Linked DNA regions of Caenorhabditis elegans. The protein of the gene in region 1 purifies or fractionates together with the protein of each later gene. This does not show direct contact. Each region holds a gene or a part of one and is shown in the gene's direction. Other genes may lie near its edges.

Region 1 (7,232 bases):
TATGGACCACCCTGTATATTTGCTGGTTAATAATATTTCAGTTGAACGACCCAAACCGAAAAAAGGCGTGCAAAAAGCGTTGCGGGCGGAAATGTAATGCACTTTATTCAAGATCATTAATAAATTTTCCAAAGGACTATCTACATGAGTTGGTCATCCGTATAGAAGGGTTCCGTGTGTTCTCGAATAATTACCAAATCGGGCATCTCCTCGGGAATCTGAACAAATGAAAAGGTTAACTCAAAAAGCCTGGCTGACCCATCACGGTTTGATCTACCAAAAATGCGGGAATTTTTCTCCGCATTTTCCGCATTTTTTGTAGATCAAACTCATATGGGACACCCGGACACCACGCGACTTACATTCGAAACGGTGTCATCTTCGCGGACTTCTGAAAATTAAAATTTAATTTTTTTTTCGAAAGATTACAAAATCAACTTACTTCTCGACTTCTTCTTACTGAAACGAACATCCATTGGAGCACTTTTGCCGCTTTTCAGCTGCTTCTTCTCGGTCCGCCTATCCGGAGTGAGTGGGGCCCCCGGCTGAGCTGGCTGCGGAGCAAGCGGCTGGTCATGACGATTCTCTCCTTTTTTACTCGAATCAACTGTATCTTCCTGAATGAAAAACGGTTTAAAAAAGGCCTGCCTGCCTACCTGCCTACTAGCCTATACTTGACGTACCTTACTCTTAGTTTTCCTTCTACAGAAGCACATATTGTCACACCTTCAATACGATATTTGCTCACAGCGATACAAATTGAAAATTTATGAAATGATTGATTTTTTTTTTGAATTTCAATAAATGGGCATTTTTATCAAGAATTAGAAAAAAATAAATTAAGAAAAAAAAATTGACGTCAAATTATTTTTTAATTTTTAAATTTAAAAATGTCTTAAATTTCACGCCAACCGGTTTTGCCTGGACATAACGCCTGCTTGCCTTTTCGCCTACATAACGCCTGCTGGCCTTCTTGCCTAGATAACGCCTGGATGCCTACATACGTGCCTTCTCGCCAACACAACGCCTACTTACCTACTGGCCTACACAACGCCTGTTTGCCTTCTCGCCTATATAACACCTGGATGCCTACCTACGTGCTTACTCGCGTACATAACGCCTACTTACCTACTGGCCTACACAACGCCTGTTTGCCTTCTCGCCTATATAACACCTGGATGCCTACCTACGTGCCTACTCGCGTACATAACGCCTGCTTGTCTTCTTTCCTACAAAACAGTTTTTTGCCGACTCGCCTACATAACGCCTGTTAGCCTTCTCGCCTACATATCGCCTGCTAGCCTTCTCGCCTACATAATGCCTGTTAGCCTACTCGCACGTACAAAGTCTGGATGTCTTTCCGTCTACATTACGCCTGCTAGCCTTCTCGCCTACATAGCGCCTCATTGCCTACTCGCCTACATAACGCCTGCTAGTCTTCTTGCCTTCTTAACTCATGCTTACCTACTGGCCTACATAACTCCTGTTTGCCTTCTTGCCTATATAACACCTAGATGCCTACCTACGTGCCTACTGGCCTACATAACGCCTGCTTGCCTTCTCGCCTAGACAACGCCTGGATGCCTACATACGTGTCTACTGGCCTACATTATGATCATCTCTCTGCCTACCTACGTGCCTATTTCAGGACTGCCGATACTTTTCAGTTTTTGGAAAATCTAGCATATCCTTGGCAATGTTTTTAGTTTTGATTTGATGAAATGTCCTAAAAAAACAATATTGGGAAATGTTTCTCAATCAAGAGGTGCACCAATCTTCCCGGTCACACAAAAAACCTAGCTACAAACCTAGCTACATTTACATATCGATCTATTCTCGACCAGATAGTGCTCGGTAACCTCCCCAGAGCCTGAAAAGGGCCCGATCAATATAATGACGTAGCCGTTTTCATTGTCTGTTCTATCTCCCTTTATTCTTATTTGAACTGCATTCACCTCTCTAATGAGACCTTCTGATTCGTTTTGCTGTGGAGACAGCGACTGCATGCTGCTCAACAGTTTTGTGTACGGATATCAAATTCCGGAGATTTTGATGAAGCCTACTGATGTAAGATTTTTATTTTATTACAAAAAATAAATAATTTAATATTTTTACTTCAATTTTCAGAACGTCGAATTAATTTCCAAAGTTTTTGAGAACGTGAAAATTCTTGAAAAAATATTGGAAAATGTTTCGACAGATGCGATGGGCAAATTAGATCTAAGAGTGAGTTCTGTAGAAAATTAAAATTCTCAGAGAGAAAAATATGATAATTTGGCAGGTAATTCAAATTTTCTGAAAACAATTTTGGCAGAAAATTCAATTTTTTTAATGATAATTTTTTGGCGGGAAGTTGAAATTTTTTGAGAACTTTTATTGCAGAGAATTCAAATTTTCTGAAAACAATTTTGGCAGGAAATTCAAATTTCCCGAAAAAAATCAGGCCGGAAATTTTTTGTAATTTTTTGAGAACAATTTTTGGCGGGAAATTCAAATTTTCTGAGAAAAGATTTTGGCAGGAAATTCAAATTTTCTATGACAAATTTTTGGCGGGAAATTAAAGTTTTTGGAGAAAAGTAATTTGGCAGGAAAATCAAATTTTTTAAGACAAATTTTTGGCGGGAAGTTCAAATTTTATGCGAAAACAGTTTAGTGGTAAATTCAAATTTCCCAAAAAAAATCAGGCCGGAATTTTTTTGTAATTTTTTGAGAACAAATTTTGGCGGGTAATTAAAATTTTCCCATACCAAATTCAGACGAGAAGCTCAAATTTTTTTTGGCGCAAAATATTGGCGGGAAATTCAAAAAATGGATGTAAATAGTCTAAAACTTCTAGGATCTTCTGGAAGCTTTTTTTCAACCTTGAAGCTTTTTGAAGGTTTAGGAAACCCAAAGAAAAGAAAAAAATTTATTTAAAATTTATAATTTATGGGCTAAATCAAAAAAAAAATGGTCCAAGTAACACTACAGAATTTAACGTATAAATTTCCAGCTAGTCAACAAAAACATCAACATCGCCTTGCTCCGTAGAATCCGACAAGAGCACCGAGACGTGCTCATCAGAGGAGCATCCGATTGTCGATTTGATTTGGAGCAAGATGCTAAGCAAAACTGTCCAGATTGTTCAGTTTTTATAAATCCACAAAGGGTGACTATGGAAAAGTTGGAGGATTATTTTCGGTGAGTATATATATTTTTTATATTGTTCAGAGCACATCTTTCAGATTTTTGAAAGAAATCGCTGGAGTCAAAGTTCGAAGAGTTGGCGTCGAGGATGTTGCAAAAATTTGTGATCAGAGGGAAATCCATGATAGGGTCATCAATTCTTTGATTGGCAATGATGGTTAGTTTTTACTGATTTTGTTTTGTTTTTCAAACCGTCCCAAATGCATTTAAAAAAAAATTTCCAGACCAACTCGTAGAGGAATTTTTCGGAATGAATGATATCTGCAGTGGATCAGATGAGTGTGGAATTATTGGCGGTCGATGTAGAAAATATGGTCCGATTCAGGAGAATATTTTCGATATTACACTGAAAACACCACATCATTTTGAGCATTTAGAAGTTTCAGACACGTAAGTTCAGTTTGAACAGTTAAATTGAGATATTGAGTTTGGGGTTAGTGAAGGGACATGGTTGTGGTACTGTAGGATTACTGTAGGGGTACTGTAGAGGTAATGTAGGATTACTGTAGAGATACTGTACTATTAGTATTGTGGGGATACTAAAGGGGTGCTGTAGGAGTACGATATTTGTACTTTAAGGGCGCTATAGCGAAAGTGTAGTAGTACTGTAGAGGTAATTTAGGGATACTGTAACAATACTGTTGTAGTACTACTGTAGGGGTAATGTAGGGTTACTGTAGGGATACTGTACTATTGGTACTGTGGGGATAATATAAGGGTACTGTAGGAGTACGGTATTTGTACTATATAAGAATACTGTGGAGTTACTTTAGTAGGACTGTAGAGGTTTTGAAGGATTACTGTAGGGATACTGTGATATTAGTATTGTGGAAATATCATAGGGGTACTGTAGGAGCTCTGTAGTAATACTACAGGGGTACTGTAGGAGTACCTAAGATATAATGTAGTAGTACTCTAGGGATACTGTAGGGGTACTGTAGGGTACTGTAGGATCACTGTACTTTTAGAAAAATAGATTTTGTCTTTACTTGGAGTATTGAGTTGGTGTTAGTAAAGGAATATGGATGAGGTACTGTAGGATTACTGTAGTTATACTATAGGGATACTATAAGGATACTGTAGAAGTACTGTAAGATTACTGTAGGATTACATAGTTTGAGAAATAATGATTTTTTGTCTTTTGATGGGATATCGAGTTGGGTTGGGCTACTGTAGGATTACTGTAGGGGTACTGTAATAGTTATATAGGAGTACTGTAGTAGTTATAAATTCTATAAATTATACTTGTTTTCCTTACAGACTCCTACATAGAATCGTCTTGTCGCTTGCCGATTCGTCGCAATCAAATTTAGCAGTAATTGATAAATATATAAATTCAAGAATTTCATGTGATTCCCTGACTCTGATGCCATCAATCCTACTTGGAACCAGGAAATCGTGGATTCCATGTCAACTCCAAGTTATGCGACAAATCGTAGAGCTGATTGTGGTGAAATGGAATGTGAAGAATTTGAGAATTGAGTTTGGAGAGTTGCCAGAACTAGATCTAAGTTCTGGAGACTTGGATTTGAACCAGAAATTGATTGGTTTAGAATTTGAATCTGTAGCTAATTATTCTTTGGAAAACCTTGATATTTGCCTGGAATTCAGTGAACTTCTCGCTGATGAAATGGAGCAATACCTGAAGTCACCTGAAGAACCTTCACCAATTGATGGATTAATTTCAAATGTTCAAAAAATATTTTCCACTAAATTTTTGACTCTGGAACTTCCCAAGGCATACATTCTCATGACACCTTTCAACTTGAATAAGTTCATCGGAAAGTTCATGAGAATGATTGAAAGCTCTCCGAGCTCTCCGACGATAAGAAATTCCAAAATAACAGTCAAGCTTTATCCAATGAGCTCACAGCTTATTTCTAGAACAGCTCCAGTCTTCAACTACAGAACACAGAATGTGCCGGAGATTTTGAATTCTGGTGCTCGGCTTGTCTCCGGGCCAATAGATCAAATTCAAAAAAATTCAAAAGACTACTTTCACCTGAAAGATATAGTCTCAATACCAGACGATAGATCAATTGGATATCGAACTCAAGTTCATATTTGGAAGGGAAGAAGGTTTTGTTTGGAACACGAAATGGCCAATTGCACGATAGATTTTGAAATTTATTTTGAAATTGAATTTTTGGAGAAGTTCTTCAGGAAGAGGCCTGATGTTAAGGGAGCTGGATTTTTGAGACATTTTTGGACACCTGAGTTACTGGTGAAACATTTTTAATTTTATTTGTTTTTTTGTGTTTTTTTTTGTTTGATGGGGTTATTCAAGTAATGTAGCAAAATGTATTTAAATACATTTGTGACGTCAGAAATGTATTTAAATACATGTTTTTATATACTTGAATACAGTTGTGACGTAATTTTTCTACACTTTTTAATTTTCCGACATTACTTGTTGAATAACCCCATAAGGGTAGGGTAGCAAACATTATTGCAAAATTTTTGAAAAGTGGTATTTACCGAGCTTTTGCCACTTTTCACAAAGCTATAACACTGTTGCATTTTTGAAACCCAACAATTAGGGGCTGCAAACGTTTTTTTCCGGCAAATTGGCAAACCGGCAAATTGCCGATTTGCCGGAAAAATTTCGGCAAGTTGTGCTAGTGCACATTTTTTTTTGGAAATCACTGTATTTCAATTTTAATCGGCAAAATTGTAGACTTCCTATGAATGTTCCTACATCTATTTTTAAAAGTAAATAAATTCTATGAAAATTTGCAGAAAACAAAAATTTCCGGCAAATTGGCAACCCGGTAATTTGCCGAAAATTTGCCAAACTGCAATTGCCGCCCACCCCTGGTTCGAATATTAATTTTTTTGATCGATGACTTTCAAAAATGTGGAAAAACTGAGATTTTTTCAATTTTTAAAAAATCATATAAAATGGCAAAAAATTTTTACTATAATATTTGGCAATTCTGCCCCACTAGCGCAATTCTGCCCCACACCTCATCTTTAATGAAAAAAATTTTTTTTTTTCAAATTTTTCATGTTTTTTCCTGTTCAATTTTTTCTGAATTTGTTTCTGATTTAAGTTTTTAATTGCTTCATTTTTTAAATAAATTAATTTTTCCGTTTTCAAGAAAAATCCTTGTTTTTCTTAAATTAAAATTTTGAAATTTTTAGGCGCACCGGCAAGTTTTTGGAAATATCACCCAGACGCAAATTGCGCAAAGTTTTGTGATTTTGCGGAATTTTCATCAAATTTTCTTCAGTTTTTTAAACATAACACGGCCCGAGAAGTTGTGCCTGTACCTACCTGCGGTACCTACCGTACCCCGGCTACGTTTACGCATGTTTTTCAAAAACGGCAATTTTTTTTACGGCAATTAATTTTAAAAAATGACAAAAAACGATTATCTTATTTTCGTAGATGAAGTTTTACCATAACTCGCTTCACGGATTTCTGGCTTCCCTCATAAATTGAAATGGAAGAGTTAGGCCAGTTTGGCTCGGTCATATCTGGGGTAGATTTACGGCGCGTTGCGTGTCGCGTCGCGGCTCGATTTTAGTTGTAAAACTAAATGTATTTGTCCGTGTGGAGTACACGACTTTCCGTTGTCCGGCGGGCGATTTTCAATGGAGCGGTCAGAACCTCGTGTCGCGTCTTAACCAGGTCATGCTTTGTGTTCGGTAGAGCGCATTTACACTGATGTACCGTTTGCCGGGCCATGACTCATATTACGATAACACAAAATTTTTGAGAATGCGTATTGCACAACATATTTGACGCGCAAAATATCTCGTAGCGAAAATTACAGTAATTCTTTAAATTGCTACTGTAGCGTCGATTTACGGACCCGATTTTCAAAAATAAAATTGAGCCCGTAAATCGACGCTACAGTAGTTTTCGCTACGAGATATAGTTATATTTTGCGCGTCAAATATGTTGCGTAATACGAATTCTAAGAATTTTGTGCTCTCGTAAAATGTTCCCGGAAAATTTTAAATTTTCTGGAAAACTGTGAATCTTTTTTGTTGTTATTTTTCGTAATTTTTCAATCATAGCCAGCATATTCCACACACAC
Region 2 (7,388 bases), on another chromosome or scaffold:
CTATAGACGGGACGAATTTCTTGCAGAATTGCTGGCAATGAGGATTCTGTACACTGAGTAGAGATCTAAGAATTCGTGGCCAAAGCGGATTGTTGAGGGAATGATGAGCCTCAATCTCTGTGGCAAAACATTGAAAAATGTCTAGTTTCTGAATTCGAGCAAGTTTCAGCAGAGACGCCAATATGTCCAGGTAATCAGCAAGGCAATCAGTGTGTGTACTTTGAATAGAGTGTTTGATTCGCCGCTGTAACAATTCCGAGATTTAATTGTTTAATATTCTAATTAACTCACCATGCAAATCTCACTTGCTGTCATACATAGCCTCGCAGGAAACTCATGTATATCATGGTTTGTCGATAAATCTAACAACAACAAGGAAAAGTTTTCTAGTAGTCCAAACTTGTCATTTGCATCATCGATTAACTCTAAATAAATTATGAGCCATTGAACTGGTTTTTGTCGAAGTTCTTTATGCATAATCAAAACTTTGCCATGATCCTGTAGAAAGTGTTGTATCTCCTGAAATTGATAAATTATACATTCGAAGTATAAAAATGAAATTACATTCAATAGCTTTGGAAACGTCATGTGATTGGTCGACTTCTTCGCAGTTAATGAGTTAAATGTGGCAAACAGTTCATCAATGAACAGGGCCTGATCAAGAATAGAATTGTGCAGTTTTTTATATTTTAAGATTGTCAATCCAGCACGCAAGCAATTTTCGGTCATCGAGCAATCATTTTTCAGTTTGTCTTCCAACTGTGATCGGCAGTGAGGCCAAAACAGAACCAATTCATCGAAATGAACGCATTCTCCTGCGTTTTCTCCGAATAAAGTTGAAATGATATTCCACTTCAAATGATATCTAAAAAATCCTGAGGCACCTAATGAAATAGCTGAAGCAATTTCAGGAGTGATTAATTGTGGCAGAGAAGACGAAGGTTCGACGTCACAATATTTAACAACTTCCAGTAATCCTTGCAGGAAATAAATAGTTTCTCTCGGGTCTTGTTTCGTCACAGAGATCATCAGTACTGATAGAATTCGCTGAAATAAATAAAAAACATTGAATTATTGAATATAATTCTTGCTAACGTCAAAACATTTTGCCAATTCTTCATCCTCAAAGGCACACATCGACGCAATCACTGATTGAAATAATCTTATTTTTTCCTCTGGAACGAATATATTAATACAAATACTAAATTGTATTTTCTACCTGAAGAAAGTTCCTGCTTCTCTGTTATTAAATGTAATGTAAATGTTATACTCTGAAGGATCATTCTGAAAAAACATAAATATAATCATCATCTTCTACATTTTCCAACTCACATCTTTTCCATGAACTCATTTTCGTCTAACTGCTCGATTCGGGAAACGAAAGATTTCGATAACAATTTAGTTATGTCATCTAACAAGAATTTCATTTTTTGTCTGAAAATGTAAAATAAAAAAGTTAAGATAAGATTTAATAATTATACCTGTTGAATTCTTTCTGCGTCACATATTTTTTCGCCGTACATAGCAGAGCTGAAACATCCTTATCGATATTCATTCCCAAATATCTGAAAGCCTGCGCACGTTATTTCAGTGGTTCGATGGATATTTAACAATATTTAAAATATATTGCTAACGTTTTTGTGATAATATTATGAAGAATTCACTAATACTTACTAAAAATAAGGAAACGAACAAAGTTTAAAAATAAATTCCTTCCGCAAAAAAAATTAAGCAAAATATAGAGTTCGATTGGATCGAATATATTCGAATTTGCATTGCAAATACAAACTCGCCCTATTGAAACGGCGCGAAATTTTAAACGATTGCTCCAGTTTTTGTATTGTTTTGTTGAAAATTATTATTTTCTCGTGAAGTTCCAGATTCACTTCGTTTTATTTCGTTAAACGTGGACTGTTTTTTTCAATAGTGCAATTCCCCAACTCATTATCGTAAATTCTCAGACGAATTTGATCAAATTCAATATGGAGGAAAGTACAAACGACGGCGATGAAAACAAGCCTGCAACTGGGAAGGTAAATTAAATATTTTTGTATTTATCAAAAGCAAAACAATTTCAGAAGCGACAACAGCTTGAATCTCCGTTTTCTGCTGCGACACCGAAATCGCGTCTCGGAAAGGAATCGAAAAGGTTTTTCGGGCGTTCTGCTATGAATTTGGCCGATGGAAATCTTGAAGAAACTCGCATTGAGCCAGACTCGCGCCATTCGTCTACCAGTACCTCCGACTCTATTCTTGATGATTCTTCAATCTCCAATTTTTCCACACTCGCCCCGCCAAATACCTCCGTTGATGATAACAGTGTCTGTGAACCGCCAAGAGCTTCCTCAGCTCATGATGTCGATCCTAATTTGGAACAAACGAAGGTTTACAGTGAAGACAGCATCAGCAAAGACTGTAGCATTGCTGACGAGAGTTTTGCGACTGATGGTGACGTCACACTGGCGAACGACTTCTTCCAACAAGCAACGATTCAAGATCTAGAGAATACTCCGTCAACACCACTTCGGAGCCAGACACAAGTTGGAGACGAAAGTACACCAACTGCTCCTTCCCCACTTCGTTCGAAAATTCCAATCGAGAGTGAGGTTGTGCAGTCAACTTCTGTAGAGTCAGTTCAGTCAACATCTCAGCATGAAAAATCGAGAATTGAATATTCTTTGTAAGATTAATTTAAATTTATTCCCATTGTTAAATTGTTTATTTCAGATATGAATTCGAAATGCTGGAGAAAAATATCGAGCATGATGAAGTCGTTAAAGATCTTCAATTGAAAATTGAACTTCTTGGAGAGAAACATAGACAAACTCTTGTTGAAATTAAAGAAGCTCGTGAAGTTGAAGAGAAAATGCTCATGCAACAAGTGGAGGAGGCTGTAAAAAAGACGAAATCTGAGCGCGAAGCTGCAAAAACTCTGGAACAACTTCTTGAGAAACGGATTGAAGAGCTCGAGATGAAATTAACGGAGCCGAACGGAGAGAAACTACAGTTTGAACATCAGTTGGAAGAGTTGAAGAGTCGTTGTGAAGAGCTTACTGACAAAGCACTGAAGGTTGATGTCATGCAACACAGCATTGAGGACTACGAAAAAAAGTTTGTGGAGTTGCAAGAAATGAAAGAGGAGGCTGATGAACAACTGCAAAAGGCTAAGGAAGACATTGAGACACTACAGATGAAGTATGTGGAATTGGAGACAACGATCAACAAAGAGGTAATGCAGTTAATATCTTGCCTGAAAATTAATTATATTTTTTCTTAGGTGTTCTCCAACTCTGAAATTGAAACTCTGAAGTCGGAACATGAAATTGTTCGTAAACTGATGTTGGATGAAATCCATCGTCTTGAGAATGAAATGTCTGCTCTTCAACCGAAGAATGATACTACTGAACTGGAAGAACTTCAGAAGACTCTCGATGATCTCAAAATTGACTGTTGCAATTTGACTTCAAAAATGCTTGAACTTCAGTCAGAGCTCGTAGAAGTGAAAGAGAAAGCCACGTCAGAAATTGGGGAAGCTGTTCAGAAAAACGGTGAACTCCTGGAACAGGTTCGTAGTTCGAGTTTAGAAATAATTGCACTATATTTCTTATTTCAGATCAATAGCCTTCGCGTCGAAAATGCAAAATTGGTGGACATGGAAGGTCAGCTAAACGATGCACATCGTAAAGCGGAAGATAAAGATGTTCGAATCAGTGAACTATTGACTACCATTGAGTCTCTTCGTCAAGATTCTGAGGCCAGCGATAAACTTCTAATGGATTCGGAGTCTACACAAAATGAGTATTCGCTTGCTCTTGAAAACACAGTCTCTGAGTTGGAAACAATGCGAAGAGAATATAAGGCTTCGGTGGATAAAGTTTGCAGTCTTCAACTGGAACTAGAAGAAATTCAACATGAAACATCAGTTGAATTGGAAGAGGCGGAAATAAGAATTAAAGAATTGGAGTTGGCACAAGAAGAAGCTGTAAAAACTGGAAGTTCACAGCTCAAGAAGCTAGAAATTGTTCAAGAAGATTGTCAGAAGCTTCGTGATCAATTGAAGGAGGAACAAATTCAGCAACTTGTATCTCTTCGCGAGACTTCTGAAGTCATGCACCAGGAATCGGCTCGACATCAAGAAGAAAAGTACCAGATTCAGAGCAAGTTGATGTCGACGGAAGCAGAAGTTATTGAGCTGAGATCCTCTATTGATTCTCTCCAAGCTGAAGTTCGAGTGCAGTCAGATTCCGCCGCAGACCAAAAACACATCCTTGAAGATTATTTGAGAAAAATTCGGCAAGCAGAGGAAACCAACGAAAAACTTCGCTCTGATTTGGCCTCCTCTGAAGAACAAATTCTAGATCTGAAGAATCAACAGGAATCATTGATTGATGATTTGAAGGAAAAATTGCACTCTGCAGAAAGTACGAATCAAGAATTGCAGGTCTCTCTGGAGATGCTCAAGATAGAAGTCAGTAATGCTCGTCAGAAAGTGATGGAGAGTGAGGTTTTAAAAGAATCTTTCGAAGCCCTTCAACTGGAGTTGTCGGCATCACAAGAAGTTTCTCGATCAGTGGTTGATGCTGCAGTTCAAGAAAAAGATGGTCTTCTGAGACTGGTGGATACGCTGAAGTTGAAAATTGAAGATACGGAAAAGTCTGCTCAAGATCTTCAACAAAGCTCTGTGGAAGAGATAAAACAACTTCAATTGGACCTTCAAAATTTCAAACAAAATGCTGAAGTTCTCGAATCTCTGAATGAAAAACTAAATTCTAGTCACAAGAGGGATATGGTGGCGTTGGCATCTCAACTAGAAGAGCTTCAACATAAACTCGTCGTCGGAGAATCCCAAGTGGAAAATGTTAAGGAAGAACTGATTGGAGCTAAGATAATGAACAAGGAAATGGTTGATGAACTGAATGCGAAGCTTGGGGATGCTCTTGAAGGGATGGAAGAACTGAAAAAGAGCCTAGAAGTATCCGAAGCTAAAGTTCAGAGAAGAGAAGAAGAGGTTTAAATTCCTTAAGATTTCAGTCGAATTAAACTTGTTTTTCAGCTAATCGCTCAAGTATCGAAACATCGTGATCAGCAGGAGCAGCTTCAATTGACTCTCGACGAGCTCAAATCGGCTCAACATTCCACGGAAACATCCCGTTCCCAGTCAAATGAACTTGCTGCTCGTATCGAAGAGCTTGAAGCTTCCATCTCCTTTGCACAGAAGGCTCTTCAAGATGTAGAAGACGTCAAACATCAACAAGACATTCAGATATCTGAGGCGAATGAGGCAATGGTAAAGCTGAAGCAAGACTTTGAGACAGAGGTATATTCTTTCGAATTTCGAACAGAACATAATTTATTTCTTTTCAGAGGACATCACTTCAAAACGAGTTCAACCAAACTGTTTCCGCAGACAAAGAGCAGCTTGGTCATGCTGAACAAATGATTGCTCAGAAAGAAAAAGAGATTATCACTCTCCAAGCTCGAATCGAAGCGATGTCTCAGCAGTTCGAGGAGCGCCTTGAAGCATCGAATGTTTGGAAGACCCAAGCCATGAATGTCGGTACACTGACTGAATCGTTGTCTCAGTTACAAGTACAACTTCAACAAATGAATGAGAAGCTGGTTGCATCGGACAAATACGCAGTTGAAGTGGAGCAGCAAGCTCAGCATGATATAACTGTGATCCAGGAAGAGAAGAACGAGCAATCAGCGGCTCTAGAAGAAGCACTATCCAAAATAGCGGAACTTGAGGAGCAACTGGGAAGAGCCCAGAAGGAGATTGTACGACTCGAGAAGGTGTGTGACGATTTCGACGACGTTGAACGAGAGCTGAAGGATGCCATCTCGAAGCTTCAATCTGAGATAAAGCAATTGAAAGGAATCAAGAAACCACCAAAAGTAATGGGACTCCTTCAACAGGCCAGACTTGGGTAAGTCTCCATGATTTTCGACAAAACTCAGATATGTAAATCTTTGATATTTCAGAGTGAAGCCGCTGAGTCGTGAACATTCTCATGCGGAGCCACCAGAGCCTGTTGTTGAGGACAAGTTCGAAGATGCTCAGGATTCGTTCCAAGAAGAGTTTTCCCATTCGCCAGATGCTATCACGTCATCTACGGTACTCCATCCAGATGATCATCTTCAAGAAACAACTGCAGTTGAAACGCCGTCGAAGAAGGCGAACCGCTCAAACTGCAACCAGCAATAATTTGAACTCGTATTTTATTTATTTTTACTTTTTGTGTGCCATTACGTATTTCCGCGCACTACTCAACTGTGAATGTCTTTCCGGGTCAGAATAAATGTCTTTATGTGAATTTAAATTTAGATGATTGTGCTTTTATATTACATAGTCTTCTTCTTTGATGCATTGAATTGATTAATTAAATCCGAAAAAATACAGATCATTGATTATATTGAGTTTGTTTGATTATCATTTAAAAAATTGACCGTGATATTATCGAAAAAATACGATCGCACAAATTTCTCATAATTTATTTTTGATCTACCTTGTTGACTAGGCTCCTCCCCTTCCTTCGACAAGACGGCCACAACAAAATAACAACGGCAACAAGATTGGAGTTATGAGTTGGACTAACGAAGGACACGCCGACGGACCACATCTACCAAGAATGCAGAGTTCTCCCTTTGAAAGAAGAATATAAGCTCTCGACGCAACAGATGTACTTGGCAGCGATCAAGTCAAACACGCACCCGTGCAGAGACCTGGAAGCAAAGCGCCAACTGGAACGAACCTCTAAACCGCCAAGGATCCCGCCGCTGAAGCTATCGGACTCTGAAAAGCTCAGACTCGACAACATCCCAGGCGACAAGACGGAGGCCCAAAAGAAGAATCACACGAAGCTGGTAGCGGACTTCATCAGGAATGCACCAAACAACAAAATTCTCAACAAACCTCCACCAAGAGTGAACTACAGGGACGAGAGGACGCTGCCAAAGGAGACTCGATGCGAATTGGCACGGCTAAGATGCGGTCACTCACTCCTCGTCGAGAAATACAAAGCCCGGCTGGAAGAAAGGCAAATAAAGAAATGTCTGAATTGTGGAGATGAAGAAGGAGATGTGCAACACCTATTAAGTTGCCTCCAAACTCCAGTCCCCCTAGAGGAACTCTGGACTTCTCCACTCACGGTGGCGGCGGCCTTAGGGCTCCCCACAAAAACTCCATATGACCCTGGAGGAGGTCATTAGCTATGCGAGACATAGCTGGCTGCTGCGCAGCCATTGTTGTTGCACAACAACAACAACAACATCTGTATTTTTTCGGATTTATGATCTATTGTATGTGTACATTTTTCTTTTTTCTTCAACTTTTTCCACGTCTCCTCGCGAGCGTAAATAAATTAAATTAAATTAAATTATATATAATA

What was found.
Region 2: the proteins of BE10.3 (region 1) and hcp-2 fractionate together in Caenorhabditis elegans (co-fractionation; one large-scale study listed by BioGRID). This does not show direct contact.

What each region holds. Positions count from the first base shown.
Region 1 is NC_003281.10:12,806,087-12,813,318, forward strand, and holds BE10.3 (FTH domain-containing protein), read left to right. Parts: upstream 1-1,939; 5' UTR 1,940-2,004; coding exon 2,005-2,067; intron 2,068-2,127; coding exon 2,128-2,226; intron 2,227-2,992; coding exon 2,993-3,180; intron 3,181-3,224; coding exon 3,225-3,343; intron 3,344-3,410; coding exon 3,411-3,576; intron 3,577-4,446; coding exon 4,447-5,425; 3' UTR 5,426-6,276; downstream 6,277-7,232. Other genes in the region: BE10.5 (Autism susceptibility gene 2 protein-like), read right to left, coding at 141-218, 363-391, 443-617, 684-716.
Region 2 is NC_003283.11:9,643,900-9,651,287, forward strand, and holds hcp-2 (HoloCentric chromosome binding Protein), read left to right. Parts: upstream 1-1,959; 5' UTR 1,960-1,982; coding exon 1,983-2,033; intron 2,034-2,078; coding exon 2,079-2,680; intron 2,681-2,727; coding exon 2,728-3,229; intron 3,230-3,277; coding exon 3,278-3,565; intron 3,566-3,613; coding exon 3,614-5,008; intron 5,009-5,053; coding exon 5,054-5,317; intron 5,318-5,364; coding exon 5,365-5,927; intron 5,928-5,982; coding exon 5,983-6,205; 3' UTR 6,206-6,312; downstream 6,313-7,388. Other genes in the region: atl-1 (Serine/threonine-protein kinase ATR), read right to left, coding at 1-244, 292-519, 565-1,047, 1,096-1,175, 1,220-1,284, 1,333-1,434, 1,482-1,555.